2 linked regions of the Sus scrofa genome follow. The protein of the gene in region 1 purifies or fractionates together with the protein of each later gene. This does not show direct contact. Links are inferred from orthologs where the notes say so. Each region holds a gene or a part of one and is shown on either strand. Other genes may lie near its edges.

Region 1 (16,130 bases):
CTTAGTTGAGTAAGATACACCAACAGGTGCTCTCCAACTACCTCTGAGGCCTCACCTCCTGTCACTCCAGCTCTTAGCTCTGGCTATAGTCAAATAACTGCAATTTCCTAAAAGCATCATATTCTTTCACACCTTAACCTTAGGTTCCCTTGCACTTTGTCCTTTTCTGGGAATACTCCTCTTCTTTCAAAACTCAGCTCAACTGCCACTTTCCCAAAGGAGCTTTCTCTGTTCCATCAAGTGAACATACAAGATCTTTCCTCGCTGAACTCTATCTTCCACTTCCCTTATAGTTAGTTCACTTCTCGTCTCCCTACTAAAATGTGTACAGAGCTTATTCAACTTTACATCTTCTCCGATGCTAGATACTCCAATGTTTTGTTATTAAATAAAGAAAACAGACCACATTTGCCATTATGCCCCAGGCTCAACATCTGAAAGCCCCAAGGACTCATTTTGCAAACTACAGATTCAGACTCACAGACTGGTAGAACTTAATTGTTAGGTCCAATAATTAAAACCATCCGTGTAATAATCTATGTAGGAAAAGAATCTGATGAGGAATGGCTATATGTATAACTGATATACTGATTTCAAGTGAACTGATGACACCTGAAACATGTTTATAAGTCAACTCTAATAACATTTATTTAAAAAAAAAAAGTTTGCCACTCTTGGTGTTACTGTGCCTAGGCTAGCCAAACCAGGTGAATGCCTGGCCTGAGAGGTTCCAAGGCCCTGGGTTTGCACCAAAGTATTCCAAACGTTTCCCTGTTTAGAGCTGCCTGAGCACAACGTATTACAAGGCCCAAAGTATATATCGTGTGTACAGGGGCCAAAACTTGCACGGAGGGTTCTTCCAACTTCGCAGTTCAGTGAATTACGAGGCTTTGGACAGCGCGTTAAAAAAAGCAAGATCCAAGGCCTGAGACTGTTCAGGAGCCCACAACCGTCTTGATCAGAAGTTCATGCTCCATGGCTTCCCAGAACCTCAGGTCTAAGAAACTAAACCGGTTAGAGACGCCAAAAGCGGTGTCAAACGCGCCGGCGGAGAGCAGGTGCGGCAAGGCTTTGTTCTGAGAGATTCCTGTACCGCACACCGCCCCGGCCAGCGTCCCTGTTCCCCAGCTCTCCGAGCTCTAGCAAGCGGCGGTGGCGGCGGCTCTCCTGATTGTGAATCCTGAGTTGGCCCGGAACGGAATCGCAGCGCTACTGGGCAAATCCCTGTTCCCGCCCAAGACTTCCAGACTTTAGGGCCCGCTGGGTGGAGGAAGGGGATCCAGAAAGTTCTACGAGCTGCAGGAACCCAGTCTTGAGCCCACCCCCACAAGGCCCTTCAGCTGAGTCCCTCCCACTCCGAGCACCCCCGCGCCGTTGCCCAGGTAACCGCGGGGCGGTGGCAGCAGCCGGAGGGGGTGGGACTTCCGGCGGGTGACGCGCCGCGACTCGGCTACAAAAGACGACGGTTGCGGCGCGCCGGGCGGAACTTTCCAGAACGCTCGGTGAGAGGCGGAGGAGCGGCGGCTGCCCGAGCTGCGCACAGAAACGCGCTCCTTCCCGCTCCCCCACATCGGCCTCGGCCCGCTCACCGGTGAGTTTCTGCTTTCACGCTTCCTCTGGTCCCCAGGCCTGCGCCATTAGCGGCTCCGGGAACTGGGATGGAGCCGCGGTCAAGTGGCGGTTGGCTCCGCGTGGGCTGCGGGGCTGTCGGTTCCTGTATCCTCGATTCCCTTTCTGTAGAATTGATGGGGGTGTCCCGGCAGCCCTTGCTGGTGCGCAACGGCTGGGCCCGATACCGTTCCAGAAGCTTTCCCCTCGCCTATCTAGCCGGGGGTCTCCAAGGATCTGCCGCCTCCGGGTTTCCCTCCGCCCGCCCTCGCTGGGGGTGGGGTGGGGGTGGGGGCGATTCTGCGCGCACGCGCAGGAGGAGCCAGGGGCGAGGGGCTGCGGGAGGAGCTTGGCGGAGGCTGCGGTTTTCGCATCTCCGGTCTCCCCTCCTTCTCTTTGTTGAGGGTTGGGCTTCTCCCACCCCTTCGCTCCTGAGTCGGAGGAAGAAAGGAAGGAAGCCCAACGCTCGGCGCTAAGTGCAGGGGGAAACCTAAGAACATGTAAGCTATGCTGGCTTGTGGGGCAAGAGGGGTTCGGCGTTCAAAGCAGAGAAGCTGTAGGTCCTGTGATTGAGAAACAGTCTCAGGATTGAGGGGGAGGGGAGCTTGCTTTCTGGAGCTTCCTCCCCGCCTTGTGCCCAGACGTCTTTTCTAGGAAGTGTATGGTTTATCAGATTTACCAAAGATGATAATGACAGTGGACTGAACCTATTAGTGCGTCTTGTCTTTACTGCCCTGTCATTAATGGGGAGGGGAGACAGGAAGAATCGAGATGGAGGTTTTCAGGTGGAAAGTGGGAACAAAGTAGTATGGGAGGTTTCTTAATTATTCCCTGATAATTATTAGCTTATATTTAGTCTGTTAGAATTTAATGGCTGAATTATCAAAGGACTTGTTACCGTCTCTGTGAAATTTAGGGAAGGTGATGTTCTTATGATCAGATTTGGCAAAGAACAAATTTCTTTGCCTAAACTCTTGATTTTTACTAATTAAAACTACCAGTTGAAAGTAGTTAAAATTGAACTTTTTTATTTCAGGCTGTAGAAAATGGTGAAAGAAACCACTTACTATGATGTTTTGGGGGTCAAACCCAATGCCACCCAAGAAGAATTGAAAAAGGCTTACAGGAAACTGGCCTTGAAGTACCACCCTGATAAGAATCCAAATGAAGGAGAGAAGGCGAGTACCATACTCACACTTTAACATAACTGGGTAGTTCTTGCCAGGTGTATGGTATTTCCATTACAACATGAAATTGAGTATGTCTAATACAGTGGCTGTGCTTTGTGACAGTTGAGTTTTTTTGGTGAAATTTATCCCCTTTTTTCTCACACAGTTTAAACAGATTTCTCAAGCTTACGAAGTGCTCTCTGATGCAAAGAAAAGGGAATTATATGATAAAGGAGGAGAACAGGCAATTAAAGAAGGTGGAGCAGGTGGTGGTTTTGGCTCCCCCATGGATATCTTTGATATGTTTTTTGGAGGAGGAGGAAGGATGCAGAGAGAAAGGAGAGGTAAGAATGACTTAGTCCACATATAGCAAATTAGCCAATTTGGTTAAAGCGAATTCTTGAGAATTCACATATTATTAAATGCTTGTTCACATGTTAGTGTAATGTTGCAAGCTGACTGTAAACATTTTATGATAGTTTTTTAAAATGAGTTTGGATGAAACTAAAAATAGCCAATAGGGTGCTAACAAATGAGTGTTTCTAAAGCTCTTCAGATACATAGGACTTTGTTGAAGTTGTCAAGCATTAAATGAATAAAGTTACAGGAGCATAAAATTTTCAAAACCCTTTTTATATGTTTTGATTTTCAGAACTTACACACCTACTCCTCAACCCCAATAGTGGATGTAGTCAAAAGTGAATAACACCCAGTCGAAGGGAGTTACAGTTCAGAATCCTAAATATTTGTCAGGGTCACATATAGCCAGCATCAGAGTCTGGATTGGAACACAGGTTCATTGCCTTCAAAAAGCTTGGTCTCTGTTTAATCTACCTTCAGTTGTATTGTACTAAAATACGTGCCATATTAAGAAACTTACCTTAAAACAATTTCCAGTCAAAATCAATTGATTGGCAAACTCTTCTTTGTGTGTATTAGATCAATGAAAGGTTATTTTTTAAGTGTGATAATTCGAAAGTTTTCCTTAAATTTTAGAAGCTTTATTTCTTATATTCTGAAACATACAAAGCTGAATTAAGGGCAGCTGTTACCATGCCTGAATTAATCACATAGAATTATATTTGTGATACAGAAGCCAAAGGTGGGTCTAGAAGAGGAAGGTAATGGTACTTTACTTTTCATGTCGATCAGATAGTTTGAGAATTTCTCCCACTTAGACGTAAGGCAGTATTTCATGGTGGATAAAGTCCTTGTGGAAGGAAGAATCACTAGTTAGAAACTTATTAACCATTGGCAGGTACATTCTGTAGCCTCTGTCCTTATATGATCGCCATCTTCTAGTTCTCATTCCTAGATGAGATATGTCACTCCTTTGTAGCCACTGGCTGCATCAAATTTAGATTATCTTAAAAATAAAAATTCAGTTATTTAGTCTGCAGTAGCCATATTTATATGCTCTACAACCATGTGTGATTTCTGGCTACTGTTGTATAGCACAAGATATAAAACATCTCCGTCACTGCAGAAAGTTTTATTGGACTGCACTATGGTAAAGAATGAGAAATCTAGCCTTTAAACAGTTAGTGCTGGCTCAGCAGTAAATGCGCATTTCTGGATCGATACTCCTATATGGAGACAGGATAAATACATCAGCTTTCCTGGCTGAACTTGATGAGTTTTTGGAACTTAGTGTGTGAAGACTTTTTGGATGATGTAATTTCACTAAATACCATAGTAAGTGAAGGAGTCATAGAATGTGTTGGGACAGAAGAGCAGTTGGGGTGATTTATTGGCAAATAATTGTGTTTTAAGTAACATTGGTTTTCTCAGTTGATTTTGCAGTTAACTTTTTTTTTTTTTAAGGATTTATCAAGCTTATCAGTGACCTTTTTTTGTTTCTGCTTTTTGGGGCCACACTCCGAGGCATATGGAAGTTGCCAGGCTAGGGGTTGATTTAGACCTGCACTGCTGGCCACAGCCATGCCAGATCTGAGCCTCAATTGCAGCCTACACCACAGCTCTAGGCAGCATAGGATCCTTATCCCACTGAGCGAGGCCAGGATTGAACTCACATCCTCATGGAAACTAGTCAGATTCTTTTCCACTGAGCCACAACAGGAACTCATAGTTAATGTTTTTGATTGCATTAAAAAAAAAGATGCAGTATCTTAGATTTTTAATGAGTAATATTTTGTTCTAGGTAAAAATGTTGTGCATCAACTCTCAGTAACTTTAGAAGATTTATATAATGGTGCAACAAGAAAACTAGCTCTGCAGAAGAATGTGATTTGTGACAAATGTGAAGGTATGTCTTAATGCTTGTAATAGAACTGAAATGGGACCAAAGCTTTTCTGGATATATAAAAACTGACAAATACTGCACTACCTAGATCTTGGAGAATGCAAGTCTGAAAACCACCCGAACCTACCTCCTAGAGAAATATTTGCAAAATATCACACTTTTATGTGTATATTTTGAACACAGGTGGGATCTAATTTGGTGTCCCTTTTTCTCAACATTGTTCAGAGATGAGTACTTCCTTTCTTCTCTAGAACTTCAGAGGCATTGCAGTGGCTTCATATGATTTTAAAGTGTCCTCTTTTTAAGTCCAGAGCTGTCAAATTATTGGCTCTGAACCTCTAAGCTTTTTTCAAGTAAATACAAGTTACTTGTTTGAAATAGATTTTCTAAAGAGAATAAAGTCTTAAAATGTTCTCGCAGTTAAAGTAGTCTTTAAGAATTGTGCTTTGGAAGCACATGTTTAAAATTAAAAATTCTGAAATGGTTCCTTGGGAAAATAGCAGTCAAGATGTCTATAGGTAACCGAAGCTCATTTGGGACTATGTTGTATCAAATAAAAAGGCTGAATTGTAGATTCTTAAGGCAGCATTCCATTAGACCTTAAAAGTATTAACAAAGCAGAGTGTTTAGATACTGTCTCATTAAAACATTCATCACTGTGTTGGATACTAAATATAAACAATTTCTTTTTAAACTATTTAGGCCGAGGTGGTAAGAAAGGAGCAGTAGAATGCTGTCCCAATTGCCGAGGTACTGGAATGCAAATAAGAATTCATCAAATAGGACCTGGAATGGTTCAGCAAATTCAGTCTGTGTGCATGGAGTGCCAGGGCCATGGGGAGCGGATCAGTCCTAAAGATAGATGTAAAAGTTGCAATGGGAGGAAGATAGTTCGAGAAAAGAAAATTCTAGAAGTTCATATTGACAAAGGTGAGTTGTGAGCCACTTCTTATTTTAAATTCTTGAGTGTTATGTCAAATTTATTAGCATTATATTTTATTTCCTAATAGGGGTTCGTTCCTTGGGAGCTGATAGGGTCAGGAACAGGTGATATACTTTGATTTATTAACTTATTTGTGAGGACTTAGGTTATAATTACTACTTTCTAATGGTTTTTACAAGTTAAACACAAGTTATCAGTTTCTGCCTTTTGGGTTCCAGGATATAACTTAAGAGTTTCTTTTCAATATTAGGATATTTTATTTTGCCAATTTTTAAATTTTAATTTAGTAAAAAATATTTTAAAATGTATTAGATCAGTGTCTATTTTCCATTGTAGTTTCTCTCTCTCTCTCTCTTTTTTTTTTTTTTTTTTTTTTGCTTTTCAGGGCTGCACCCGAGGTATATGGCAGTTCCCAGGCTAGGGGTCAAATCGGAGCTACAGCACAGCCACAGCAACGCAGGATCTGAGCTGTGTCTGTGACCTACACCACAGCTCACAGCAACGCCAGATCTTAACCCAGCAAGGCCAGGATCAAACCCGGAACCTCATGGTTCCTAGTCACATTCATTTCCACTGCACCACAATGGAAACTCCTCATTGTAGAAATTCTTAAAATGTGTATAACCCCAGAATACATTATGCTACTCTGAAAAAAATCAACATGATTAGCTCATTCGGACTTTGCTATTTTATTCATTGGTTCGGGGGCCTTTACCTGTGGCATACGGAAGTTCCCAGGCCAGGAGTCAAATTGAAGCTGCAGCTTACAGTCTACACCACAGCCATGCCAGTGGCAAGCTGCATCTGGGACTTTTCCTGCAGCTCACCAGAACACCAGATCCTTAACCCATTAAGCGGGGCCAGGGAATTAATGTGCATCCTCATGGGTACTAGTTGGGTTAGTTACCACTGAGCCACAGTGGGAACTCCAGACTTTGCTATATTATTTTTTTATATTTTTAAATTTTTTCATTATTATTATTATTTTTTTGGTTTTAGGCTGTACCCATGGCATATGGAGGGACCCAGGCTAGGGGGCTAATCAGAGCTACAGCTGTTGGCCTATACTACAGCCACAGCAATGTAGAATCCGAGCTGCCTCTGTGACCTATACCACAGCTCGTGGCAACACCAGATCTTAACCCAGTGATCAAGGCCAGGGATCAGACCTGCATCCTCATGGATGCTAGTTGGGTTTGTTAACCACTGAGCCATGACAGGAACTCCAGACTTTGCTATTTTTTATTTATTTTTATTTTATTTATTTATTTATTTATTTGTGTTTTATATTTTCAGGGCCACACCCACGGCATATATGGAAGTTCTCAAGCTACAGGTCGAATTGGAGCTACAGCTGCCAGCCTACACCTCAGCCACAGCAACACAGAATCTGAGCCACATCTGTGACCTACACCACATCTCACAGCAATGCTGGATCCTTGACTTACTAAGCAAAGCCAGGGATCGAACCCACATCCTTACGGATCCTAGTCATAGTCATGTTTGTTAACCATCGATCCACAACAGGAACTCCCAGAGACTTTGTTATTTTAAAGTGAAACATACAGAGTTTCTGTGGTAGCTCCGGGGTAACAAACTGGACTAGTATCCATGAAGACACAGGTTCAATCCCTGGCCTTGCTTAGTGGGTTAAGGTCTGGCGTTTCTGTGAGCTGTGGTGTAGGTTGGAGACCCAGCTCGGATCTGGCATTGCTGTGGCTGTGGTATAGGCCCATAGCTGCAGCTGCAGCTCCAATTTGACCCCTGGTCTGTGAACTCCCACATGCCACAGGTGCAGCCCTAGGAAAAAAAAAAGCAGAAAAATTAAAAACCACACAAAAATAAAAGTAATAATACATTGTACATACTCACATGGAACTGTACTTATGAACATCTTATCAGTATACACATCTACTTTAAGTCTCTGCAATAGTTTTCTCCCCATGTGAATCACGGTACTTCCCTCCCCATGTTTTTTAATTTCAGCCATGCCTAGGGCATGTGGATTCCCAAGTCATAGCAGTGACAACATGGAGTCCTTAACCGCTAGGTCACCAGGGAACTCCTTCCTCCATTTTTCTCCCCTTAATTGGCCCATGTTTAGTAGGATTTGAATTTTTCCCTGTCCAGTAAAGTTCCCTTCTTGCTACCAAAAGTATGTATTCAGGAGGCAGTAGTAGTAAGTGAAGCCATTTATGAACGCTGCACTAGCCTGTGCTCTTTATGTTAATGGAACAACCAGCAAAACTGGTTGAGTTCAATTGCTTCACTAGTATAGTGAGACACAGTTACTTTGTGATTAAAGATAGATTGTTTAGTTTCATCAGTGCATAATACTGGTATTTTGGTTTAAGTCTATCTTTTTAGAGGTATATACTGAAGTATTTGGGGTAATTGGCCTGTCTGGACTCGAAATACATGGAATGTGGGTGGAGGTATATGTAACATGAAATACTAGTCAAGAGCTGATAATTACTAGATGTATATTGATGAATATTTAGGAATTCTTTGTACTTTTGACTATTTTATATAAGTTCAGTACTTCCTGTAATAGTAAAACAAAGTTGCTTTTGTTGGGTGATTTCAGTGCTCAATGGTTCAGGAATCCTGGAGCTACTGCTGCAGTCTAATGACTTGCAAACATGAGTTCTGTTTAAAGAGGTGTTAGCTTAAGTGAATCCTTAGTGAACTAAGATACATGAGCCAGAGGTAATCTCAGTAAACACATTGGTGTTTAAGAAATGTTTGCCCTATTGGAAAAATTTTGCTGGGGTTTTTCTCTTTTTTTCTTTTGGCCACACCCACAGTATATGAAAGTTCCCTGGGCAAGGGATTGAACCTGAGTCAGAGCTGCACCTCACTACAGCAACACCAGATCCTTTGCCCACTCCACTGGGCCAGGAATCAAACCCATGCCTCAGCAGTGACCTGAGCCACTTGCAGAGGATGCCAGATCCTTAACCCACTGTGTCACAGTGGGAATTCCACATTTCTCCGTAATTTTTTTTTTTTTCCTTTTTAGGGCCCCACCTGCTGTATATGGAGGTTCCCAGGCTAGGGATCTAATCAGAGCAATAGCTGCTGGCCTACACCACAGAAATGGCAATACCAGATCCTTAACCTACTGAGCGAGGCCAGGGCTGGAACCCTCGTCTTCATGGTCCTCATGGGTACTAGTCAGATTCGTTTCTGCTGAGCCACAAAGGGAACTCCAACATTTCTCTGTAATTTTGACCCTAACCACATGGTCTGAAAGTGTTAAGCCATAATTATCCTTTCTTTAAGAAAAGACTAAAAATCATTTAACAAAACAATTATGGACTTTTAATTTTTTTAAGTTTTATATATTGCTTTCCTATATGTAAACATTGCTAATACAGTAAGGGGGGGGAGTCTGACTTAGGCTTCTGTAGACTTGATAGAAATAATTTGACTAAGTTTTTTTAAAGTGATGAAATAATTGAAACATTTATGGTTATGATGTTTACCACTGATTTGGTGACAGTGTAGACCTCTTTTTTTAGTCCTCACAAGAGCTCTAATGGAGAGGTAGGTAGGTCTCTGTGGGAAAGTTGATGCTTAGGAAGTTAAGCAACTTGCTTCCCCAGGGTAATCCAGCCTACTGGTAAATAGCTCTGAGATTTGAAGCCTGATTTGCTTGTTTGCCTCTAGAATTTGTGTTCTCCACTATGAGAGTTTTCTTCAGTAAGAAGTAGGACTGGGGGTATTTTTGGTAAATTCTCCAAAACTTTAGCATCCATATGGACTTGAACAATTTCTTCATGTACACACAAACATGCATCTGTATTTCTTGTAGATGGAGATTCTGACCTTGGATGTTAAGAGTGTAAAATTAGCTTTTTGTTTTTAGGCATGAAAGATGGCCAGAAGATAACATTCCATGGTGAGGGAGACCAAGAACCAGGACTGGAGCCAGGAGACATTATCATTGTTTTAGATCAGAAGGACCATGCCGTTTTTACTCGGTAAAAACTTTTATCAAATACTCAAAGTGATACTTGGGGGGTGAGAGGGGTTCCTTCATTTTTCTTATTTAAATGAGCTTTTCACTACTTTTAGAACCATTTCTTGGAACTACCCTAGGAAAGTATAGAAGGAGAGTTAGTCTATGTAGTGTTGTCCTCTCCAAAAGATTGTTAATCATTTATGTTTGTCTTAACAGAGAGTCAGATTTTAAGTTTTTTTGGTCTAAATTTGGGTTAATTGTTGCCTAATCTGGATTTTGAAGGATCAATTAGGAGTTATTTTTTTCTTTTTAGGGCTGCACCTGTGGCATATGTAAGTTCCCATGCTAGGAGCAGAATCAGAGCCGCAGCTGCCAGCCTACATCACATGGGATCTGAGCCATGTCTGCGATCTCTGTCTCAGCTCAGAGCAGTGCCAGATCCTTAACCTACTGAGCAAGGCCAGGAATTGAACTCACATCCTCAATGGGTCCTAGTTGGATTTATTACCACTGAGCCACAATGGGAACTCCCAGGAGATGTTTTATATGAGTATAAACAGGTGGATTGGGGAAACATCCCCTAGATAAAGCTGTCACCAATATTTGTATTAAGCAGTTAGTTTTGAAGTAAGTGCCCTAAAGCTTTCACCAATTTCTTAAATCCTGAGTTTCACTTTCTTCAATCCTGGGTTTCTTTTTTTATATTTAAAAAAAATGTTTAAAATATTCTGTATAAAAAAGTTAATTCAGGTCTGTTATGTGAAATACTTAATTTTGTTTATGAACTTATAGTGAAGCACAAGGAAGATTGGTTAACAGTGAATGTGTTAAATAATAAATCCATGGCTAATTTTAAAAACATCTGGAATTGGGTTCCAGTAAGTCTGTTGGGAATGACATGTAAGGAACAGGTTTTGAATTATGGAACAATCATGGAAAATGCCATCAAGCTTAGGATTTTGATTCTGTCATTTGAGGTGAATCCTCAAGATTATTTCTGGAAAGTATTCTGCTTGATGAAAAAAATTACTAGTATGAATGGGAAAAGAAAGCAAGCATGAGGAGGCAGTGGGCTGTTATCAAATATAAAAGATTGTGTTCATAATGTGCCAGGCACTGTATTCCCTAATTCATGTATATCAACAAAGAAATTCTCATTGTCCTATGAAATTGGCCATATCCCCATAATTTAATTCAGACTCTAAATTATCTGGAATCCAGCCTTCGGTGTGTTTCTCCACCTAGACTGTGCGGGGAAGGGATGGGGATCTGAAGCCTTGTTGAGGACACAGTGCTGGCAGGTTCTATGTATTTGCTGTTCCCAGTTCTCAGCTCTGTTTCAAGAATCAGAAAGAAAGGGCATCTTAAAACAGTTTCTTGCTTTGGTGCTTGTAATCATTAGCGATTTGAAAGATATAAGTATATGCCATATTTATATTGTACAGACGAGGAGAAGACCTTTTTATGTGTATGGACATACAGCTGGTTGAGGCATTGTGTGGCTTCCAAAAGCCGATATCTACTCTTGACAACCGAACCATAGTCATCACTTCTCATCCAGGTATGGTAACTAGATAAGCTTGTCTTTCTATTCTAGTGTTTTCATAGTCTGCTGGTAACTATATAGGCATAGAAAAGCTGCTGAGTACATAGGCATCCTTGAGCTGAAATCATGCATTCTTGGCTGTCTTGGAAGCCCCTAGAAGATCCAAAAACAAAAGGTATCAGGATTGTTTCCCATAAATTTACTTGTCAGTGAGCTAGGACATTTCTGTTTATTTTCTCTGCGTCATAAAAGTGTGACTAGGAGCATGACTATGCTGCAAGCAGGATCAGTGGTGTCTCTGTGCCGGATGCACAGGTCACAACTGTGGCTTGGAGCTGATCCCTGGCCTGGTAAACTCCGTATGTATCAGGGCAGCCCAAAAAAAGTGTGACTATATTTGAGGTATTTGGTTTCATTGTTTTTAGGTCAGATTGTCAAGCATGGAGATATCAAGTGTGTGCTAAATGAAGGCATGCCAATTTATCGTAGACCATATGAAAAGGGTCGCCTAATTATTGAATTTAAGGTAAGCTATAAAGTACTCTAGGAATGTTTGAGAATGACTAGTTTATTAAAATTTGTTAGCAGTTACAGTTTCTGAATGATCAGAATCATAAAATGTATATTCTTTTCCCAGATCTAACAGTACTTATGTCCTTTTGAGCATTCTTTGTTAAAAAGTTGGAATTGGGTTTGTTGGCCTCATTATTGGCTATTGAAAGACTGGCAGAGGAAGGGGGGGTGTGTGGCAAGTGGTGGGTATTTTACTAATGAAAGGAAATAGAATTCAAATTTTTGTCAAAATACTGTAATGCTATTAATAGAATGGTTCTTAAAGCCATTCCCTCAATCTAAAATTTTGTGCCCTCAGAACCATTTAACGTTTATTAACATTTATTAAAAACATCTTTGGGAGTTCCCGTTGTGGCTCAGTGGTTAACGAATCCGACTAGGAACCATGAGGTTGCGGGTTCGATCCCTGGCCTTGTCAGTGGGTTATCTGGTGTTGCTGTGAGCTGTGGTGTAGGTTGCAGATGCGGCTCAGATCCTGAGTTGCTTTGGCTGTGGTGTAGGCTAGCAGCTGTAGCTCTGATTCAACCCCTAGCTTGGGAACCTCCATATGCCACGGGAGCAGCCCTAGAAAAAGCAAAAAGAAAAATAAAGTACTTGCTGCATAGAACAGTGATTATTATAGTGCAGTCTTACTAGGGTTTTTTTTTTTTTTTTAAGACTTCATGTATGCCTTGAACTTGATTTCAGAGTACTAGGTGATATATGCCTTTATAGAATGTGTATTCTAACCTGGGATTGGCAGGTTTACCAGAATACTATGTGGTTACATGTGTTTGAGGGAGGGGGAAAATGGGTCAGTGGTAATTTGTCTAAGGAGCTAAGGATGAAGTAAATCAATTGAACTTACAGTGGGAGTTTTTTCCTTACAGGTGAACTTTCCTGAGAATGGTTTTCTCTCCCCTGATAAACTCTCTTTGCTGGAAAAACTCCTACCTGAGAGGAAGGAAGTAGAAGAGACTGATGAAATGGACCAGGTAGAACTAGTGGACTTTGATCCAAATCAGGAGAGACGACGCCATTACAATGGAGAAGCATATGAGGATGATGAACATCATCCTCGGGGTGGTGTTCAGTGTCAGACCTCTTAATGGGGCCAGTGAATAACGCTTACTGCTGGCATTTTATTTGCTGCAGTAGTGATTGAGTGAAGGACTATAATCATAATATGCTCACTACTTGGTATTGTTTTAATATTCAACTATAGTAGTGTTTTAAAAGTTAAATGAAGAATAAACTCAAATATAAAAGCTCTGACTTTGCCCTGTATGTATGGTGACTTCAGTGTGCAAGAAAAGTTTAATACCTGTAAAAAACTACTTTAAAAAAAACAATTCCCCTACCATTTGTTAGGCCATACCTTGTAATTGATTTCAGCTATGTACATGGAATAGCTTAGACTGAAATGCCAGGTGTGTATGTATTGACTTCAGTGTATGACCCTTAATTGTTAAGCTATGAAGTTAAAACTGTATTTAACTGGCAATCAGGCAAAGAACTTAATTTGTAGAAGTGTTGGTCTGTATAGTTGTATTCAGTTGGGATTCATTGTGATGCTTCTGCATTTATTATTCTATTGCCTCAACTGTTACTTGAAGATGGCATGCTATATATATAATTTAATTTAGCCTCTGGTGATAGTGATAGAAATGATACCTTTCTAAAGAAGGGGTTTATCATTAACATGCTGCTTGAGGGCTTTGCACTTGTAGAATTGCATTCCCTTTTGCTGTGCCATCTTTTTTTAAATATAACTATTGGTCCTGATTAAACATTTTTTTTCCCTCTTTGGAGCACGGTAAGCATTAGAGTAGTGACTTCTCTGGAGCAGGATAATTTAGAAGTTAGTGGTGAGACCTTAACATGGAGAAGTAATTTGCATGTATCAGGATAGGAAGGTGTTTTGCAGGCATGTTATAGGCTTACTTTAAACCATTTAACTTACGCTCCAAAGTAACTGTAATTTAATGTTGGTAGTATAGCAAATTATGATGAATAGCTTTAATTAACTGTATGTTTAAAGTCATGTTCACAAGCTTAAATCTGGATATCAGAATTTAAGCAATTCTTGAAATGTATGACTGTTTCCTTAATACACTGATTATAAAGCATGTCCAATGTGTCACCACAGGCCTTTTTTTTCCCCCAGGTTAAAGCATTGCTTTTGTACTAATTAAGATTATTCATTTAACTAGTTAAAATGAGTAATACAAAAACACTATATAACCGTAGTTAATGTTTATATTAAGCAAGGGTGAGGAGCGAAAGTGGAGGGGCTTAAGTATCTTAACACTGCAAGTGAGAATATGAGGGCTTTCTGCTTATTAATTCTGCTCTGGTTCTGTTATCTCCCATATCAGGAGGCTTAAACATTTCTAACTTGGAAGTAACCCACAACTTAGAACACTTGAGTTGGAGGGAAAAAAAAAAAAAAAAAAGACTGAAACTTGGTATAAAGTATTTCCCAAAACGTTCGGGATTCTTGTCATAGTGATATTCTTAATTGACAGCCTCACCTCCTATTATTGGGGGATTGTCTTTTTTTAGTGGCCAGCTACCCTTATATTTGGATAAAAAAGCAGGTGTTCAGTAAAGAAAACCAATCAAAATACTGAAAATAATGGCTTAGTTTTCACTGCATATATATTAGCCAAAAAAAAAAAAATCAATAAACCTATATTTATAAATGTTCTAAGGCATTTTAAAAATTACAAAAATCTCTAACATGATGCTTCCAGTATTGTCAGAAGGGAAATACAGTGAATCACAGATATTGGGCAGCTCCTCAAAAGCCAAACATGAATTCACCATATGACCCAGTAATTCCATTCCTTGACTCAAGAGAACTGTGTGCCAATGTTATTTCATAATTCACAGCAGCCGAAGAAGAAACAACCTATGTGTCTAACAGATGGATAAAATGTGATAGGAAAGGACTTTCATGAAATATCTAGACAAATTCATGGAGGCAGATATTTGTTTTTTAGGTATTTTAGGACCACACCTGGGGCTATGGAGGTTCCCAAGTTAGGGGTCAAATCAGAGCAGCAGGTCTATATACCACAGCCACAGCAGATCTGAGCCACCTCTGCAACATACACCTCAGGTCATGGCAACACCGGATCCTTGACAGTGAGGCCAGGGAACAAACCTACGGCCTCATGGATACTGATCAGACTTGTTTACAGCCAAGCCACAACAGGAACTCCAGGAGGCAGATATTTGAAGGGCCAGGGGAAAGAGGAACAGAAAGTTACTGCATGCTTAATTACCTCAGGTGAGCAAAAGTTTTTAAAACATAGTGGTTACACAATATAGTTAATGCAACTGAACTGTACACTTAAAAATGGATGAGAGATTTACTTTTGTTTCACCACAGGGGGGAAAAATCCTTAAAATGTAAATCACTAGAAGATGGAGTTTCTGTCGTGGTGCGGCAGAAACAAATCCGACTAGGAACCATGAGGTTGCAGGTTGGATCCCTGGCCTCGCTCAGTGGGTTAAGGATCCAGCATTCCCGTGAGCTGTGGTGTATGTAGGTCACAGAGGCGGCTCGGATTTGGCAATACTGTGGCTGTGGTGTAGGCTGGCGGCTACAGCTTGGATTCAACCTGGGACCCTTCATATGCCACAGGTGTGACCCTAAAAGGACAAAAAGACAAAAAAAAAAAAAAAAAAAAAACCATGATTTGAATCTCATCCTCTGGGGGATTTTGATGTAATTGAGCTGGGTGTAGCCTAGGTAACAGGATACATAGAGCCAAGGTTCTATACTACCACCATGGGTGTATTAATCACCCAGAACAATAATGGCAGCCCTTGCTATTGCAAGTTTCAGGCTCAGGAAGCCTCCCAGCTTTGACGTGGTAATTTCCTGTTTTGAAATAATGTGGGAAAATGAAGCATAGGCTCTACTGAGCACAGTGAATGGAAAATGTTAGCAAGTTACAGCAATAAAGATGCTCTTTCAAGGGTTTCTGAAGTCTTTTACCTTTATCACTTTATTTGGTTATCTCAATAGCCTGCTGAGATTGATAGAACAAGCATTAAAACACCCACCTTAT
Region 2 (16,658 bases), on another chromosome or scaffold:
TGATCTCTTGATGTTCGTAACTGAATTTCCGGTAGAGGAGCTGACTGATAGAAAGGATTTCTTTTATTTTCAATTTTTTTTTTTTGTCTTTAGGGCCAACCCTGAGGCATGTGGAAGCCCCCAGGCTAGGGGTCCAATCGGAGCTACAGCTGCTGGCCTCCACCACAGCCACAGCCACGCCAGATCCGAGCTGTGTCTGCCACCTGCACTGAGGCTCACGGCAACGCCGGATCCTTGACCCCCTGAGGGAGGCCAGGCATCGAACCCGCGTCCTCATGGATCCTAGTCAGGTTCACTACCGCTAAGCCAGGACGGGAACTCCTAGAAAGGGTGTAAATAAAGCGTGATGGGAGCAGCGTCGGCAGAAGAGGAGCTCATCAGTTGCTGAGCAGCGGCAGTGTTGCCGGAGCTGCGGGAAGAAGGGAGTGCCGACCTTAGCCTGGGGGTGGGGAGTGGTCACGGCCGGAGAGGGGCGCAGCCTGACCGAGGCAGGGTGACTCGGGGGGCTCAGAGCTGCGGCGGATCTCAGGGGGCCCAGCGGGGGGACCCTTACCCGCCCGTCTCTCGCAGAGCACGCTGAGGCAGACACCTTCTTCTGCTTCACCAACCTCATGGCGGAGATCCGGGACAACTTCATCAAGAGCCTGGACGACTCGCAGTGTGGCATCACCTACAAGATGGAGAAGGTGTACTCCACCCTGAAGGACAAGGACGTGGAGCTCTATCTGAAACTGGTGAGGGCCCCCAGGACCCCTCGGCCCGGCGCCGAGGACCGCAGGCCCCGGGGCCTCCCAGGCCCAGACTGAGGCCCGGCTCGAGTCGGGCCTTGGAAGTGGCTTCTGCTTCCTGGGTGGCTTCTACTGACCCGGGTGCCAAGGCGGGGCTGAGAGATCAAGGTGGCAGATGGTGGGAGCCCAGCAGGCTGAGGGGAGGGGGGCTACAGTGCCCACCGCATGCCAGGCACAGGGCAGGGCATCCACCATAGCAATTAGTTCAGCCTGTTAGAGTCTTCTGAGAAAGGAGGTATTCACTCCATTTTTCTATTGCTTTTGTTTTTTTGTTTGTCTTTTTGCCCTTTCTTGGACCGCTCTTGCGGCATTTGGAGGTTCCCAGGCTAGGGGTCTAATCGGAGCCGTAGCCACCGGCCTACGCCAGAGCCACAGCAACGCGGGATCCGAGCCGCGTCTGCAACCTACACCACAGCTCACGGCAACACCGGATCCTCGACCCACTGAGCAAGGCCAGGGATCGAACGTGCAACCTCATGGTTCCTAGTCGGATTCGTTAACCACTGCGCCACGATGGGAACTCCTGCTTTTGTTTTGTTTAAGCCTTGCCTGTGGAGTGTGAAAGTTCCTGGGCCAGGGATCGTACCTGTGCCATAGCAGCAACCACGGCTGCTGCAATGACAGTGCTGGATCCTTAACCCACTGCTTCACAAGGCAACTCCTGGTTGTCGTTTTGAAAGTTATTGGGGAGTTCCTGCTGTGGCACAATGAGATCGGTGGCATCTTGGGAGCACTGGGACTCAGGTTCGATCCCCGGCCTGGCACAGTGGGTTAAGGATCTAGCGTTGCTGCAGCTTTGGCCTAGGTGGCAGCTGCGGCTCAGATCTGATCCCGCACACATATGTCACGGGTGAGGCCTTAAAAAAAAAATTACTGGAGTAGCTGCCCATGTTTATTTCAGGAAACAGTTCAATAAAAAGAATATTTATAAATAAAACCAGTAGTTTTGTGGAGTTCCCGTCGTGGCTCAGTGGTTAACGAATCCGACTAGGAACCCTGAGGTTACGTATTTGATCCCTGGCCTCACTCAGCGGGTTAAGGATCCTGCGTTGCTGTGGCTGTGGTGTAGGCCAGTGACTATGGCTCCGATTAGACCTCTAGCCTGGGAACCTTCATATGCCGCAGATGCGTCCCTAGAAAAGACAAAAAAAAGAAAAAAAACAGTTTTGTGAACAAGAAAATACGTGTGAACATACTTTTTTATTTTTTTATTTTTTTTTTATTTTATTTTTTATTTTTATTTATTTATTTATTTTTGTCTTTTGTCTTTTTGTTGTTGTTGTTGTTGCTGCTATTTCTTGGGCCGCTCCCACGGCATATGGAGGTTCCCAGGCTAGGGGTTGAATCGGAGCTGTAGCCACCGGCCTACGCCAGAGCCACAGCAACGCGGGATCCGAGCCGTGTCTGCAACCTACACCACAGCTCACGGCAACGCCGGATCATTAACCCACTGAGCGAGGGCAGGGACCGAACCCGCAACCTCATGGTTCCTAGTCGGATTCGTTAACCACTGCGCCACGACGGGAACTCCTGAACATACTTTTTTAAACAAGCGGAGAATGAAGTCTTGCTGTCTTGTAACCTGTTTTTTCAGTCAATCATATTCACTGGTTGAACGGAGTGTCTGTTGGGAATAGTCGCCTGCGGGGTGGTTTTATGGAGTTTTATGGAGTAAGTGAGATGTTAAACACGAGGCCAGGTTTCTAGTGGGTGCCCTATAACTGTTTCTCAGGCCATAAACCCCAAGTTATCATCTGTATAGTGTCTTAAAAGAATTTGAGCCATCATTTATAAATCGAAGGAGCTTATGTAAAAGTTTGGGTGTCTGGAGTTCCCACTGTGGCACAGTGGGTTAGAGCTTCTGGCATTGCCGCAGCTGCAGTGCAGGTTGCAGGGGTGGCTCACATTCAGTCCCTGGCCTGGGCACATCCATATGCTGCAGGTGCAGCCATAAAAATGAAAAGAATTAAAAGTTTGGTTTTCTGGCTTTGCTCGGAACATCAGACGCTCTGGTCATTGCCTTGCAGCCCCTCCCCCTGAGCCAGGCTCCCCGTGCCATCTGCGGCGCGGTGTGCCTGGCGCTCACACCTGGCCTCGCCATGTCCTCTGTTGGGTCCCGGGCCTGCGGCTTATCTGAATTCACGTCTGATAGGCGGCGTGGTGTTCCGTGGCACCCAGCCAACGGGGGTTCTCGTGCCCCGCCCGCACCTCTGTCTCCCCAGCAAGAGCAGAACATCAAGCCCCAGTTCTTCGCCTTCCGCTGGCTGACACTGCTGCTGTCCCAGGAGTTCTTGCTGCCTGACGTCATCCGGATCTGGGACTCGCTCTTCGCCGACGACAACCGCTTCGACTTCCTCCTCCTGGTCTGCTGCGCCATGCTCATGTGAGTGTCGCCGTGAGCAGGGGTGGGCGTGCGGGCGGGGGGCTGCAGTGAGCCCCTGGGATTCTCAGGCGAGCAGCACACCAAACTGGCTTTGGGTGGTGCGGGAGGAGCGGGAAGGGGCCCCAGGGGCCCAGCACTCTTGTGTTTTTCTTAGACTGATCCGGGAGCAGTTGCTGGAAGGGGACTTTACCGTGAACATGCGGCTCCTGCAGGTAACGGAGTTTGGAGGGACTGGCTCAGTCTTAGGCTGTGAGACAGACCCTTAGCAGGCAACCCCCATCCCCACCCCTGCCCCCGTCCTCGTCCCCATGCCAGCGCTGTGAAAGGATCAGGGCTGTGTAGCAGATCCTAGGTGTCCGGACCCCTGAGCCAGATCTGGGTTTGGGTCTGGGTTGGATCCCGCTTTGCCACTGACCTTGAGTGTGGTGCGGCCTTGGGTGAATGACTCGGTTGCCCTGAACTGCGTGGTCTGGATGAGTAGGGCACACCTGGCACGAGCCTTATCCCGGGACGTGGTGATGAGGCTTGCTGGGGACCGTGTGCAGACCTGGTCGTAGTTGTTCAAGAGTCAGACAGCTTTGGGTTCACATCTTTGTCCTCCTGTGCCAGTCATGTAACCTGAGCCAAGTGGCAGCCTCTCTAGGCCTTGATCTCTTTGCCACCCCCAGGCTTGGGGTTGGTTTCCAGTAACTTCGTTGACTCAATCTGTAAAACGGGCCGATCCACAGTAACCCCTCATTGGGCTATTGTGACCCAGGGCACGGATGGTGTTCAGCCCTGTTCCAGGCTCGGTGTGAGTGCAGCTCAGGGGTCAGTGGCAGGAGGTGGGGATTGGTGCTAGGGAAGGGGCTCGGAGGTCTTTTGGGCGGTGATGGGTTGGGTTGGTTAAGTTAGGGCTGTGGGGGCAGCAGTGGCTTCAAGCAGGGTTTGGTCAGACGTGGTGCCTGGTGTGCTGTGGTCCCTTCCCCTGAGACCCCCTGGTCCAGCATGGTGGCAGGTCCCCTGGGGAGCCCCGTGGGTGGCAGAGGTGGTGCAGGGTGAACTGACTGGAGGGCCTGCTGTTGGCCTCTCCCCTGCCCAGGACTACCCCATCACAGACGTCTGCCAGATCCTACAGAAAGCCAAGGAGCTCCAAGACTCACAGTAGCCCTGCGGCAAGAGGCCTGAGTTTGGGAGAGAAGCCGCCACTGACGCCGCCACCACCACCACCACCTATGTCCTGACTCCTGGGACGCACAGGAGCCTATGGGGTCCCAGCTGGAGGGGCTGCTGCAGGATAGGCCTGCTACAGGCCTTGCACCCTGGCTGCGCCCACTGGGGCACACTGTGCCACACCCCTTACCAACCGCTGAGCCCGGCCCTGGCCTGCTTCCACCGGGACCCTTTGCCCAGGCTGCTGAGCAAGGCAGGAGCTCGTGACATTGTTGCCTGGGGCTGGGGCAGACCGGGGGCCCTGGGGCTGGTGAGGGTCCCTCCCGGCCTCTGCCCTGCTGCTCCCCTCCTCCTCTCCTGCTCTGTCCCCTGGGATCTGGTTGGGGAGGTGCTTGGCCAACGAGCCAGAAGCCACCTCTTCTGGAGGCTGGTGCTTGGGCTTCTCTACGGGGAAGGTGACACTGTGAAGGAGCTAAGAGTCTGCCAGACCCAGTCACACCCTCTGTCCCATTCCCACTGAGTGTGTGTGTGTGTGTGTGTCTTAATTCCCCAGGCGTCTGCTTCTCCTTGGTCCGTGCGTCTGTGTGTCCAGAGGCAGGTGAATCCCTCTAGGTCTCCTTGTCTGTCTCCTCACCTCTCCACCTCTGCCTCTATCCCTCTACCTCCTCCACAGAGGGTGTGTGTGGCTCTCGCTCTGTCTGCCCTTCTCTCTTGGGGTGCCTTATCCCCGCCTCTTCTCTCTTCTCCTCCCAACACCCATGAACCCTGGAGACAGAATGAAGAGTCTGGCTCAGCAGAGCTTCTGGAGGTCAACCTTGGCCTTTGCAGCTTGTTCCCATCCCCCAGCTCTCCACTCCCAGTGCCTCCCCACCACAAAATTCTTGGAAACCCAAAGCTCTGAGAATTGGCCAGTGAAGCTGCCCGGTGAGGCGGGGTGGAGCTAGCTGAGTCTCCCAGAGGTTCCCCCAAAGGCCCATCTCTCCCAAAGGAAAAGGACATTAATGCGATCCTGTGCTGGGGCTTGGGATCCAGGTGCTTCTGAGGCAAAGGTATTCATTCCTATGGCTACTGGGTCTGGGCCCAGGGCAAGTGAGCCCCGTACAGGGCAAGTGGGACCAGAGGGAGCCTCTCTGGGCCAGGCGGAGCTGAGCTCGATGGCTGGGTGCCATCAGGGCCGGGAGAGCCACGTCTCCCCCAGGCAGGGGAGCTGAAGGAGGTGCTGGCCCTCATGTGGTCACGTGCTTGGGCTGCTCCAGGATCTGGGGCAGGTGTGTCCTGGATAGGAGCAGCTGGCAGTTCCCACTGCTGGGCTGTGGGAAGGGTTGGCTTGTTCCAACCTAGTACCCTCCTCGTTTAAGGAGGCAGGTGGTTTGTGCCTGGAAGGCTGGGTCATGTAGCATGGGGCCTCTTCATCTCAGACTGGCCAGCAGGGGCCCCCAGCCACCCCCCCCCCATGCCTTCCTGAGTCATGGCCAGGATTTGTGGATGGTGGCCAGGAACAGCTTCCCCAGGCAGCTCCTGTCCAAACTGTCTCTTGGATGCTTGTAGGACTTCATGCACTTGCCTTTATGCCTTCTCCTCTTCCAACAAGGTATTTGAGAGATTTTTGCTATTTATTCAGATTCCTAGTTATTTATTGCGATTGGCAAGTGCTCGATTTGATGAAGGGTGGGGCTGGAAGGGTAGAAACAAGTTGGGGTCAGGGTCTTCCACTCTTCCCGCCTCTGGGACCTGCCTGATTTTCCAGGAGGTCCTGGCTGGGAGGACTCTGTGAGAGGACTAGGTGTGAGGGAGACAACAGCTGGGATCCTTGCCAGAGCCCAAGACCCCGGCTCGGGGCAGAGACACGGCTGCCCAGCAGCCTGGCTCACCCTTTTCCCAGAACTTGTTGCTGGTGGTTCAGCCCCAACTTGATCCCTTCACAGCCTGGGGCCCAGCAGACACTGCCCAGGACACCTGATGCATTCCCTCTTGCCCGTCCCTCTGCCTTCCCTCCCGGGGCCCTACTACTTGAATCACTGCATCTAATTTGTCTAAGCGGCAGGACCTGGGTCCCCTGCCCTGTCTTTGATCTTGTGATGAAGGTCAGAAGAGCACAGGGACCATGTCCAGTTTAGGCTGAGCTCCCCAGTGGGATACTGCCCAAGGGAAAAAACTGCCCTTGGCAATTCCCCCTCCCTAGACTCAAGGGAGGTCCCCAGAGAGCCAGAGACCCCCGGGCTTCCTGCTCGGGAAGCTGCCCCCAGGACTTTGGATACTTACAGAATGGCTGTTTGAGTTCAGCTGGTCTCACTCCAAGGGTTAGAATGTTAGTCTGCTTTTGTTTTTTCATTTGTTTTGTTCTTTGAATCAGTGCTGTTGATGACAAGTTGTCTTTAATAAATCATGTGTTCTTTGCAGTGGGCGTTGGTTCTGGGATGGGCTGGAAACCTTTGAGACCTTGGAGCTGGAAAAAACAGTTGAGCAGGGATGACGTCAAGAGGCTTTCAGAGGAGTTCCCATCGTGGCACAGGGGAAACAAATCCGACTAGGAACCATGAGGTTGCGGGTTCAATCCCTGGCCTCGCTCAGTGGGTTAAGGATCCAGCATTGCCGTGAGCTGTGGTGTAGGTTGCAGACGCGGCTCAGATCTGGCGTTGCTGTGGCAGTGGCGCAGGTCAGCGGCAACAGCTCTGACTAGACCCCTAGCCTGGGAACCTCCACATGTCATGGGTGTGGCCCTAAAAAGACAAACAAAAACAAAAAAAGCCTTTAGAGTAGGCAGAAGAAAAGGCTAGGAAATTTTTGTTGGAAGAGCATGAGCCACTCTTCTTTAATAACTGCAGTTTGTAGCTGGGGGAGAGGAGGCTGTACTGGGGCAGAAGGTGTTATGTTGTGATCGTAGCAAGTTACTTATCTGTTAATTTGCCGAAACCTTCGGCATGCGGAAGTTCCTGGGCCAGGGGTTGAACCTGCACTACAGCAGCAATCAAGTCTTTGATAACCCGTAGTCTGGAGAAAATCACTGATAACATGTTAGTCTTCTTCCCAGAGGTAGATTTTTGTGTGTAATTGTCACCTTCCTCATTTTCTTGTGTATTGTCTCACCCCTCAGGTTAGGTGCTGAGCAAGTTGCTGTATGATTTTAAAATATTTTAATGCACTATATACTATTTTAATATGCTAAAAATGTCTGAAACCAGTTCCTATGTCTGACTATTTTGCTTATTCCCCAGCCTCTATTATGAGTAGTACTGTGGGGAGTGTTCATGTTTGAAATCATTGCATTCGAGGTTTATTCCCCCAGCTCAGTCCTCTAAGTGAGTTAGAAGGTATGAACCTTTTTACGGTTTTCATGCAGACTGCCAAGCTGCCTTCCGGAATCCAGCCAGCAGTTTGTAATACCACCTGCATGCATCGCGGTCCTCACGCTGGGTGTTAAAATCTTTGCTGGAGTTCCCGTCGTGGCGCAGCGGTTAACGAATCCGACTAGGAACCATGAGGTTGCGGGTTCGATCCCTGCCCCTGCTCAGTGGGTTAACGATCCGGCGTTGCCGTGAGCTGTGGTGTAGGTTGCAGACGCGGCTCGGATCCCGCGTTGCTGTGGCTCCGGCGTAGGCCAGCGGCTACAGCTCCGATTAGACCCCTAGCCTGGGAACGTCCATATGCCAAGGAAGTGGCCCAAGAAAAATAGCAAAAAGACAAAAAAAAAAAAAAAAAAAAAAATCTTTGCTAATCTCCTAGAAATTTTTTGCCTTATCTTACGATGTAATGGTTAGGAGCATAGACTCCAGTGTCGTTCAGACCTGGAGTCTTGTCCTTGTTCTCCCTCGGCGCTCTTGATTAAATCGAGTCATAATACAGGCAGTGTAGACTAGTGCTTGACAGGTCTCTGGAGCTCTTGAAGTAGGACCTCGGCACTGACGCAGAAGAGGTGGGGCGGGGCGGAGCCAGCCCTGGAGCGGCCAGTCACGAGTCGAAGCGGCGATGCCACGCCCTCTCAGGGCTCCCTCTTAAAAGGGCAAAAGGCACGGGGAGGTCCCGTAGGGCCGCTCCAGACCCCCACTGTTGGAGTCCTTTGCACTTTGGGGCGGGCTTTGAGTGGGCGGGGCCTACGTTCCGCCGTCCAGTGCCTCCACCCGGCGCAGTCCCCGCGGTGGGCCCCGAAGGCCTGCGCGGCTCCTTTAAGAACTCGCGGGTCTGACGCCGGAGGTCGCGGCGTTCTTTCGGAGCTGCGGGCCGAGTGCCCTCCACAGCTCAGGCCAGAATCCACGGCCATGAAGTTACTGCGGGCGGGTTTAACCCTAGCGCTGGGCGCCGGGCTGGGTGCAGCCGCCGAGGGCTGGCGGCGGCAGCGGTGGGACGCACGGGAGGCGCCCGGTTTGCTAAGCCGGCTCCCCGTGCTGCCCGTGGCGGCGGCGGCCGGGCTTCCCGCCGTGCCCGGGGCCCCGGCGGGCGGCGGGCCCGGCGAGCTCGCCAAGTACGGGCTGCCTGGGGTAGCGCAGCTGAAGAGCCGCGAGTCTTATGTGCTGTGTTACGACCCGCGCACCCGCGGCGCCGTGTGGGTGGTCGAGCAGCTGCGGCCCGAGCGGCTCCGAGGCGACGGCGACCGCCGCTCTTGTGACTTCCATGAGGACGACTCAGTGCATGCGTACCACCGCGCCACCAACGCCGACTACCGCGGCAGCGGCTTCGACCGCGGCCACCTCGCCGCCGCCGCCAACCACCGCTGGAGCCAGAGGGCCATGGACGACACCTTCTACCTAAGCAACGTCGCGCCCCAGGTAGCGCCTGGGCCCCTCGCCCCTGCGGCGGAAGGCGAGGCCACCCACTGCGCGCCTTCGAGCCTCAGGCTCTCTGCAAAGCGGGAAAGCTGCCGAGGGTGCGCCTAGGTCAGGCGCCTGGCGAGTCACACCGCGCCGCAGGCGGGAGGGACCGAGGGATGGGGCGCTGAGCATCCACTCTGCACTCTGATCTTAACCCCCGGGGGCCTCCCAGATCTTCAGTTTCCTTGTCTGTAAAATGGGGATAAAACGGTTACTCACCTACCCCTTGCAGTAGCGCTGAGGAACTGAAAACACCATTCAGGTACAGAAAAGTACTGAGCACGCTTCCTGGCCCATGGCAAGCGGTCAGTACCAGCTATCATGAGGAAAGCGAGTCTCAGACACCGAGTGACCGGCCCAGTGTCACATGAGGGAGGAGACCCAGGCAGTCTGTCTAGAGGAACCTGAGCTTTCATCCATTGTCCTATCTGCCTTCCTTCCAGGAGTGACAGCAAAGATCCCTGCAGGCACTGGGTGTTCGTAACAGTCACTGTGCACCCTGGACTAGCTGCCCACCTCTAGCCGTGTTCCCATCCTGGCCTGACACGCATGTGAGGACGGATGTCAGGCTCTGATGAAGCTGTAGGGTCAGCTGTAGCCTCTGACCTGACTTGTGACCTCTCAGGAGCACTGTGCCCTCCCGGTTTGATTAGACACTGTCTGAGGACCAGAGGGTTCAGGTTCTGGAGCAGACTCATGACCTTCCCGGCTGGGCTCTGCCTGTGGATCAGTTGAGGGAAAAGGCAAGGAGAGGTGCCCAGAGAGCTGGTCTTCCCATGAGGCCCTGGGGGCGGGGCCGGCCTATTTCTGGAAGATCTGCCCCTTTCCTTCATATGGCTCTTTGGAGCCAAGAGACATTTGTGAGTCCTGGGATGCTTGTTCGGCCCTTCTAGATGGGGTTATGCTGGCAACCCCTCGAGCTCTACCTGGGCTCCACCCTCATGACCATGTGGCCCAGGTGTCTTTCCATCCATGAATCTGTTTCCTCTGCTTGTCCTCACCTCTCCCCTGCCCCCCCCACCCTGGAATCTTCTGGCTTGGTGCCAATGCCCCACCCTCAGGGCCTGGAGCAGCCCTCTGACAGCCTTGCAAGTGTCCCGGCCAGTCTCACTGAGGCCCACCTCTCCTGCCAGGTGCCACACCTCAACCAGAATGCCTGGAACAACCTGGAAAAGTACAGCCGCAGCCTGACCCGCACCTATCAAAATGTCTATGTCTGCACAGGGCCGCTCTTCCTGCCCAGGTAAGGTTAGACCTGGGGACACCAGCACTGCCCACTCATCCCTTCCTGATGCCCCCAGGCTTTTTATCCACACCACCAGGTCTCGTGGAGTTCCCGCTGTGGCACAGTGAGTTAGGACTGACTGCAGTGGCTTGGGTTGCTGTGGAGGCACAGGTTCAATCCCCAGCCCAGTGCAGGGGGTTAAAGGATCTGTGTTGGGAGTTCCCATTGTCACTCAGCAGGTTCCAAACCGACTAGTATCCATGAAGATGTGGGTTCAATTCCTGGCCTCACTCAGTGGGTTAAGGATCTGGTGTGGCTGTGGCATAGGCCGGCAGCTACAGCTACAAGTTGACCCCTAGCCTGGGAACCTCCATAGGCTGCAGGTGCAGCCCTAAAGAAATCATTTGGCTTCTCAGCATGTCTGCCCCTCCCTGCCTCAGGCCCTCCCAGTTGTACTCCAAGGTCGGAGGCCAAACCCACCTACCCACCTAGACCCCGTGTCCTCTGCCCCTGGGCACCAGGCCCCAAATCTGCCCCTGCTCCTTTCTGGGTCTTCAGTGGTCCCATCCACTCAACTGTGTCCTGCCCAGACTGAAACCCTTGCGAGAGGCGCTCACCTTCACTCTCCTCTGCTTGGAGCAACCCCCCCCCCGCCCCTCGCTTCCCCTGGAGCCCGGCTTTGAACTCCATGTCCCTAACCCTTGTCCCCCCACAGCCCAGCCTCCCCCAGGTAGAAGGGACCAAGCTCCTCTGGGCTCGCTCGGTGACTTTTCTGGCCTGCTGAGGGCTTGGGACCAGTGAGGCGAGAGGTTGTGGCCAAGCAGCTGGCTGTGCCTGGGATGGACTCTGGGCCCTGCCACCTGGTCTCTGGGTGCCCTGGACAGGTGACCTCCACCTTCTCTCCTGTAAGATGGGGATAATGCCTGCTACCTACATAGCAGGTGTTTAAGGGACAAAGTGGGTGTCACCCACTTTAAGGGAGGGAGGATGCCACCTCAGGAAGGCTCACCGTGGGCTTGCTGAGGCGGTGGCTGGGGCACAGATCCTCTTTAATGAGCCAGGGCCTCCCCTGGTCCATGGTCATGGAGCAGACTCTGGGGAGGGTCAGCCTGAAGTTGCCCATCCCACATTCCGGGCACCTGTCATGCCCCAGGCCTCTGCTGGTGCCAGGGATTCAGCCGTCACAGCTCTGCTCCCTTGGCGCTCACTCGCCACCAGAAGAGACGGTCAATCATCAGGTGTCCACACGGATGAATGTGGATGTTTCTTTCTGCAGTGTTTATTGTCACCACACACTCTGGCTGACCCAGTGCTGGGTGTGAGGGAAGCAGGAGAAGAAGCACGTCTACCCAGCAGGAAGCACCCAGCCTCCTGGGGGAGCCAAGCCCGGGGCCAAGAAGCCTCACTCTGTAGGGGCGGTCCTGCAGGTCCAGTCAGGGAAGGCTTCCTGGAGGTGGAGGCCCTTGGTCAGACCAAGCTCCCTGGGAGCGCTGAAAGGCCATGTATGTCTGGGTCTGCCCACAGGACAGAGGCTGACGGGAAGTCCTATGTGAAGTACCAGGTCATTGGCAAGAACCACGTGGCGGTGCCCACCCACTTCTTCAAGGTGCTGATCCTGGAGGCAGCAGGCGGGCAGATCGAACTCCGCTCCTATGTGATGCCCAACGCGCCCGTGGATGAGGCCATCCCGCTGGAGCGCTTCCTGGTGCCCATCGAGAGCATCGAGCGGGCCTCGGGGCTGCTCTTTGTGCCGAATATCCTGGCCCGGACGAGCAGCCTTAAGGCCATCACTGCCGGCAGCAAATAAGGGCCGCCCCAGCCAGACTGTGGGGTCCTGGGGACCAGGTTGAATGAAAGGTATTTATTTTTGGAGACAAGTCTTAGCTGTGTCTGTTCCGGGTGACCTGTGGGACCCTCTGGCTCCACTGCTGCTCCCTGGCCATCCTGGGCCCGACAGAACCTTCAGCTGGGCCGGGCACCTGCCTGGGTGAGGCCAGGCTGCAGGGCGGCCAGGGAGATGAGGATGGCTTCCTGGAAGAGAAGTGCAGCAACAGGCTGGCGCCTGGGAGGCTCCCGGGTGTCCCGGCTCCCAGGCCCCAGCCCCTTGGGGCGTGGGGCCCTCAGTGGGGCCTGGCTTTGTCTGGCAGATCTGTTGCTGGCCACTGCAGGCCCTGCCAGGAAAGGGCCTCACCTCTCTGCTCCTCAGTCTCCTCATCTGTAAAATGGGGCTGATCATCACAATACCTTCCCCCCTGGGGTCTGGAGACGGGGGAGGCAACGGGCAGGAGGACCCTCTGTGTAGCTGTCAAGGGGGGGAGCAGGGCTTCCTGCTGGGGGGCTGTGGCTGACAAGCTCAGGGCACCTGGCCCAGCAGGGCTCTTGGGGACAAGTAGACGGAGGCTGTCTCCCTGATGAGTCTCCAACCTTTGAGCCCAGTGGAAGCCAGGGCACCTTGCCCTAGTAGGTGCCACAAGCACAGCATTCTGTGCTGTCCTCAGAAGTTGGGGCCCAGGTTGAAGGCTCTCAGAGCTGGTCCCCTCTTGTCCCCATTGCGACAGAGGTGCCAGTGAGGGTCTGTGAGGAGGGCTGCCCTGGAGGTGGAACACTAAGGAGACAGCCGAGGAAACGAGCCTGGAGCGGGGCTGGGCGGGGTCTCCGGGGTCAGCCAGCCTGGGAGCAGCTGGATGGGTAGCAGCGCCCAGGATTCTTGACTCCTAGCTCACTTGTTTTTTTTTTTTTTTTCCGGCTGCACCCATGGCTTGCAGAAGTTCCCAAGCCAGGGATGGAACCCATGCCACAGTAGCAACCAGAGCCACAAAAATGACAACACCAAGTTCTTAACCCGCTAAGCCACCAGGGAACTCCCTGCTGCAGTTCTGCTGTGGTGAGAGGCCCCGTGGGTGAGACCACTCCCAAGAAGGCTGGCTCAGGGCGGCCGTGGGTGGGGTGGGGACAAGGAGAGTGGTGCAACCCCCCCATGGACAGAACCCGAGGCTCCGGCCCCTTGCTGGTGGCTGAACAGGCTGGGCCTGGAGGCCAGGGAGGCAGGAGGGCTCACCTCTGTGCGGATGGTGCGGCTGCCCTGGCTGGGGCAGGTGTTGACATACAGGTCGAACAGGACACTGGGTTCAGCCACCTCCAGGTTGGGGTCAGCGTCCACTGCCGCTTCCAGCCCCTGGAGGCCCCCAAACACCACGAGAGCGTGCCTGGCACCCACAGGAGGCAGATCAGTGACCGCCCACCAAGGCCCACTGAATGCAGCCCCCCAGAGCGCTCAGGCCCCCCATACGCACCAGGGGCCCAGACTGTATGGCTTGGCCCCCACCTGTCTGGTCCCCCTGCTCCATTCCTCTTCCCCTGGCTGGACCCACCTGAAGTTGGGAAGCTGGGCGGAGGCCACATCCGAGCCTCGCTCTGATGTCCCAATGGTCAGGTCATAGCCGTCCTGGAAGGGGGCCTCAGCAAACACAGCACCTGCAGGGAGGCCAGCTCACTGGGGGCCTCGTTCCCCACAAGCCGCTTGGCTGTGTGTACTGGGGTGGGGGGGATGCCGAGGGGAGGGGAGATAAGCGAGCCACACCCAGGCCCAGACCCTTCACTCCTGGGAAGCCAGGGATTAAGCAGGCAGAGACCAAGCCTGGGCTGGCCTGGGACAACAGAGCAGTAGACATTTAACTTGTCTGGTCCTTTGGTCCCCATTCCCAGCCCCATGGCAGACACTATTAAAGATGCTTCTCAGACGTCCCTCAAAGCATGCCAGGCAGTGCACTCAGGGAGACCAGGGACCAGAGAAGGAATGGCACTTGTCCAAGGACACACAGCACGACAGTAGGATTAGGACTCTGGGCTGACTTCTGGGGCAAGCAAGGCTGTCTGTGGCCTCACAGCCAGAGAGGATGTATATGCATAGGAGGAAGCTCAATCCTTACTGAGGCAGGAGGCCAGGCGGACGGTGTAGCCCCAGTAGAGACCAGCTTTGGTGCGGGGGTCCTGCGACGACACAACTTTTCCACGGTAGGTCTTGCTCTCTGGGGGGGAAAGCAGAGAGGCTCTGAAGACAGGACAAGGAGACAGGGAAGGAGGAGGCTCCCAGTTTGCAGGCTGGCTGGCCCGGGGACACGTTCAGATACCTGGAAGCTGCTTCTGGTTCAGCCACACTGTCACCCGAAGTCCAGGCTCCAAGTTCTTGTCGATTTTCACTTCCTGGGGAGAAGCCAGAAGAAATTGGTGCTGTTCCCTGCAGGACAGCAGTGGTCGCTGCTCCCCAGATATGGGGGCACTGAAGGGGGTCCAGGTCAACCTTCACGCCCTACTCCCTGGCCCCTGGGCCAGACTTGCTCACAAGAGACCATTCTTATTCTATTTTTTTTTTTTTTTTTTTTTTGCTCTTTAGGGCCCCACTCGAAGCACATGGAGGTTCCCAGGCATCTAATCAGAGCTACAGCTGCCGGCCTACACCACAACCACAGCAACGCGGGATCCAAGCCACGTCTGCAACCTACACCACAGCTCACGGCAATGCCGGATCCTTAACCCACTGTGCGAGGCCAGGGATCGAACCCACAACCTCATGGTTCCTAGTTGGATTTGTTTCCACTGTGCCATGACGGGAACTCCCATTCTTATTCTTTTTTTGGATGCTCTGTGGCATGGGGAGTTTCTGGGCCAATGGTCAGATCATTCAAGCTGCAGTTACAACCTATGCTGCAGCTGTGGCAACACCTGATCCTTTAACTCACGGTGCTGGGCTGGGGATCGAACCTGTGCGCTAGTGCTCCGATCTTGTTATGCCACAGCCAGAATCCACAAGAGACCATTTTTGCAAAAGGAATACCCCCAAGATATTAGTCAAAATGAACGGCCCAGGGAGTTCCCTGGTGGCATAGTGGGTTAAGGATCTGGTGTTGTCACTGCAGTAGCTCAGGTGGCTGCTCTGGCATGGGTTCTATCCCTGGCCTGGGGACTTCACATGCTATAGGCTCGGTCAAAATAATAGTAATAATTTAACAATAAAAAAATGACTGGTCCAGGCCTGGCACAGAGTAGGAGATATTTCATACATGGATGAAATCCTAGTTTCCTACATTTTGGTGGCTGTGCCATTTACTAGCTTTAGGAGTCTGAGCCGTCACTGAACCCCTCTGAGACTTAGTTTCCTAATCTGTCAAACAGAAGACTTCCCATAAACAATAGCTATCATTACAGTGCACGGGACCTGGCGTGAAATACATGCTGCATACATGGGGCCGTGATGGACCACTGCTGTTTGCGTTTTGTCCCCATTTTGCATTCAGGACGGGGCACGTTCTTTCCCTTTGGAGGGTTACTCATGCGTTCCCCCTTTTATCTGGGTCCAGATTATCCTGGTCTGCGTTTATATCAAGTCTGTTCTTTTGGAGGAGGCGGGGGGACCAGCACACGTTTAAATGTTTCTGCCTCTGACTCTAGGAGACTTGAGATTAAATAGGTGGCAAATGAATGCTCCAGTTCCCAGCTCGGCATCATGATGAAGCAGCCCCAGAGGGTTTTTTTTTTTTTTTGGTCTTCTTGCTATTTCTTGGGCCGCTCCCGCAGCATATGGAGGTTCCCAGGCTAGGGGTCAAATCGGAGCTGTAGTCTCCGGCCTACGCCAGAGCCACAGCAACACGGGATCCGAGCCGCGTCTGCGACCTACACCACAGCTCACGGCAACGCCGGATCATTAACCCACTGAGCAAGGGCAGGGACCGAACCCGCAACCTCATGGTTCCTTGTTGGATTCGTTAACCACTGAGCCACGACGGGAACTCCACCAGAGGGGTTTTGAACTTGATTTTGCAGGGAGTTGTTTGAGTTTTGTTTTTCGCATAAGGACTATCTTCTGGGGATAACACTTTTTTTTTTTTTTTTGTCTTTTTGCCATTTCTTGGGCCGCTTGCACGGCATATGGAGGTTCCCAGGCTAGGAATTGAATCAGAGCTGCAGCTGCCAGCCTATGCCACAGCCACAGCAACACGGGGATCTGAGCCACATCTGCAACCGACACCACAGCTCACGGCAATGCCGGATCCCTAACCCACTGAGCAAGACCAGGGATCGAACCCGCAACTTCATGGTTCCTTGTTGGATTTGTTAACCACTGAGCCACAACGGGAACTCCAGGGGGGATAACACTTTTTAAAAGCAGTCAATTTCGGAGTTCCCGTTGTGGCTCAGTGGTTAACGAACCTGACTAGTATCCATGAGGACATGGGTTCAATCCCTGGCCATGTTCAGTGGGTTAAGGATCCGGCGTTGCCATGAGCTGTGGTGTAGGTCACAGATGC

The links.
Region 2: the proteins of DNAJA1 (region 1) and ENDOG purify together in Homo sapiens (affinity purification with mass spectrometry; 3 studies listed by BioGRID and IntAct, counting the BioPlex papers as one, with this or other methods). This does not show direct contact. The link is inferred for Sus scrofa from reciprocal best matches to the Homo sapiens genes DNAJA1 and ENDOG.

The regions. Positions count from the first base shown.
Region 1 is NC_010452.4:33,430,885-33,447,014, reverse strand, and holds DNAJA1 (dnaJ homolog subfamily A member 1), read left to right. Parts: upstream 1-1,941; 5' UTR 1,942-2,108; intron 2,109-2,644; 5' UTR 2,645-2,654; coding exon 2,655-2,786; intron 2,787-2,943; coding exon 2,944-3,121; intron 3,122-4,938; coding exon 4,939-5,043; intron 5,044-5,742; coding exon 5,743-5,970; intron 5,971-9,854; coding exon 9,855-9,969; intron 9,970-11,395; coding exon 11,396-11,511; intron 11,512-11,921; coding exon 11,922-12,022; intron 12,023-12,938; coding exon 12,939-13,157; 3' UTR 13,158-14,486; downstream 14,487-16,130.
Region 2 is NC_010443.5:269,145,565-269,162,222, forward strand, and holds ENDOG (endonuclease G, mitochondrial), read left to right. Parts: upstream 1-8,390; 5' UTR 8,391-8,579; coding exon 8,580-9,086; intron 9,087-10,261; coding exon 10,262-10,371; intron 10,372-11,608; exon of another isoform or gene 11,609-11,877; coding exon 11,878-12,160; 3' UTR 12,161-12,225; downstream 12,226-16,658. Other genes in the region: TBC1D13 (TBC1 domain family member 13), read left to right, coding at 571-734, 3,011-3,171, 3,326-3,383, 4,253-4,318; SPOUT1 (putative methyltransferase C9orf114 homolog), read right to left, coding at 13,280-13,559, 13,725-13,827, 14,283-14,381, 14,484-14,556. UniProt on the Homo sapiens protein: Endonuclease that preferentially catalyzes the cleavage of double-stranded 5-hydroxymethylcytosine (5hmC)-modified DNA.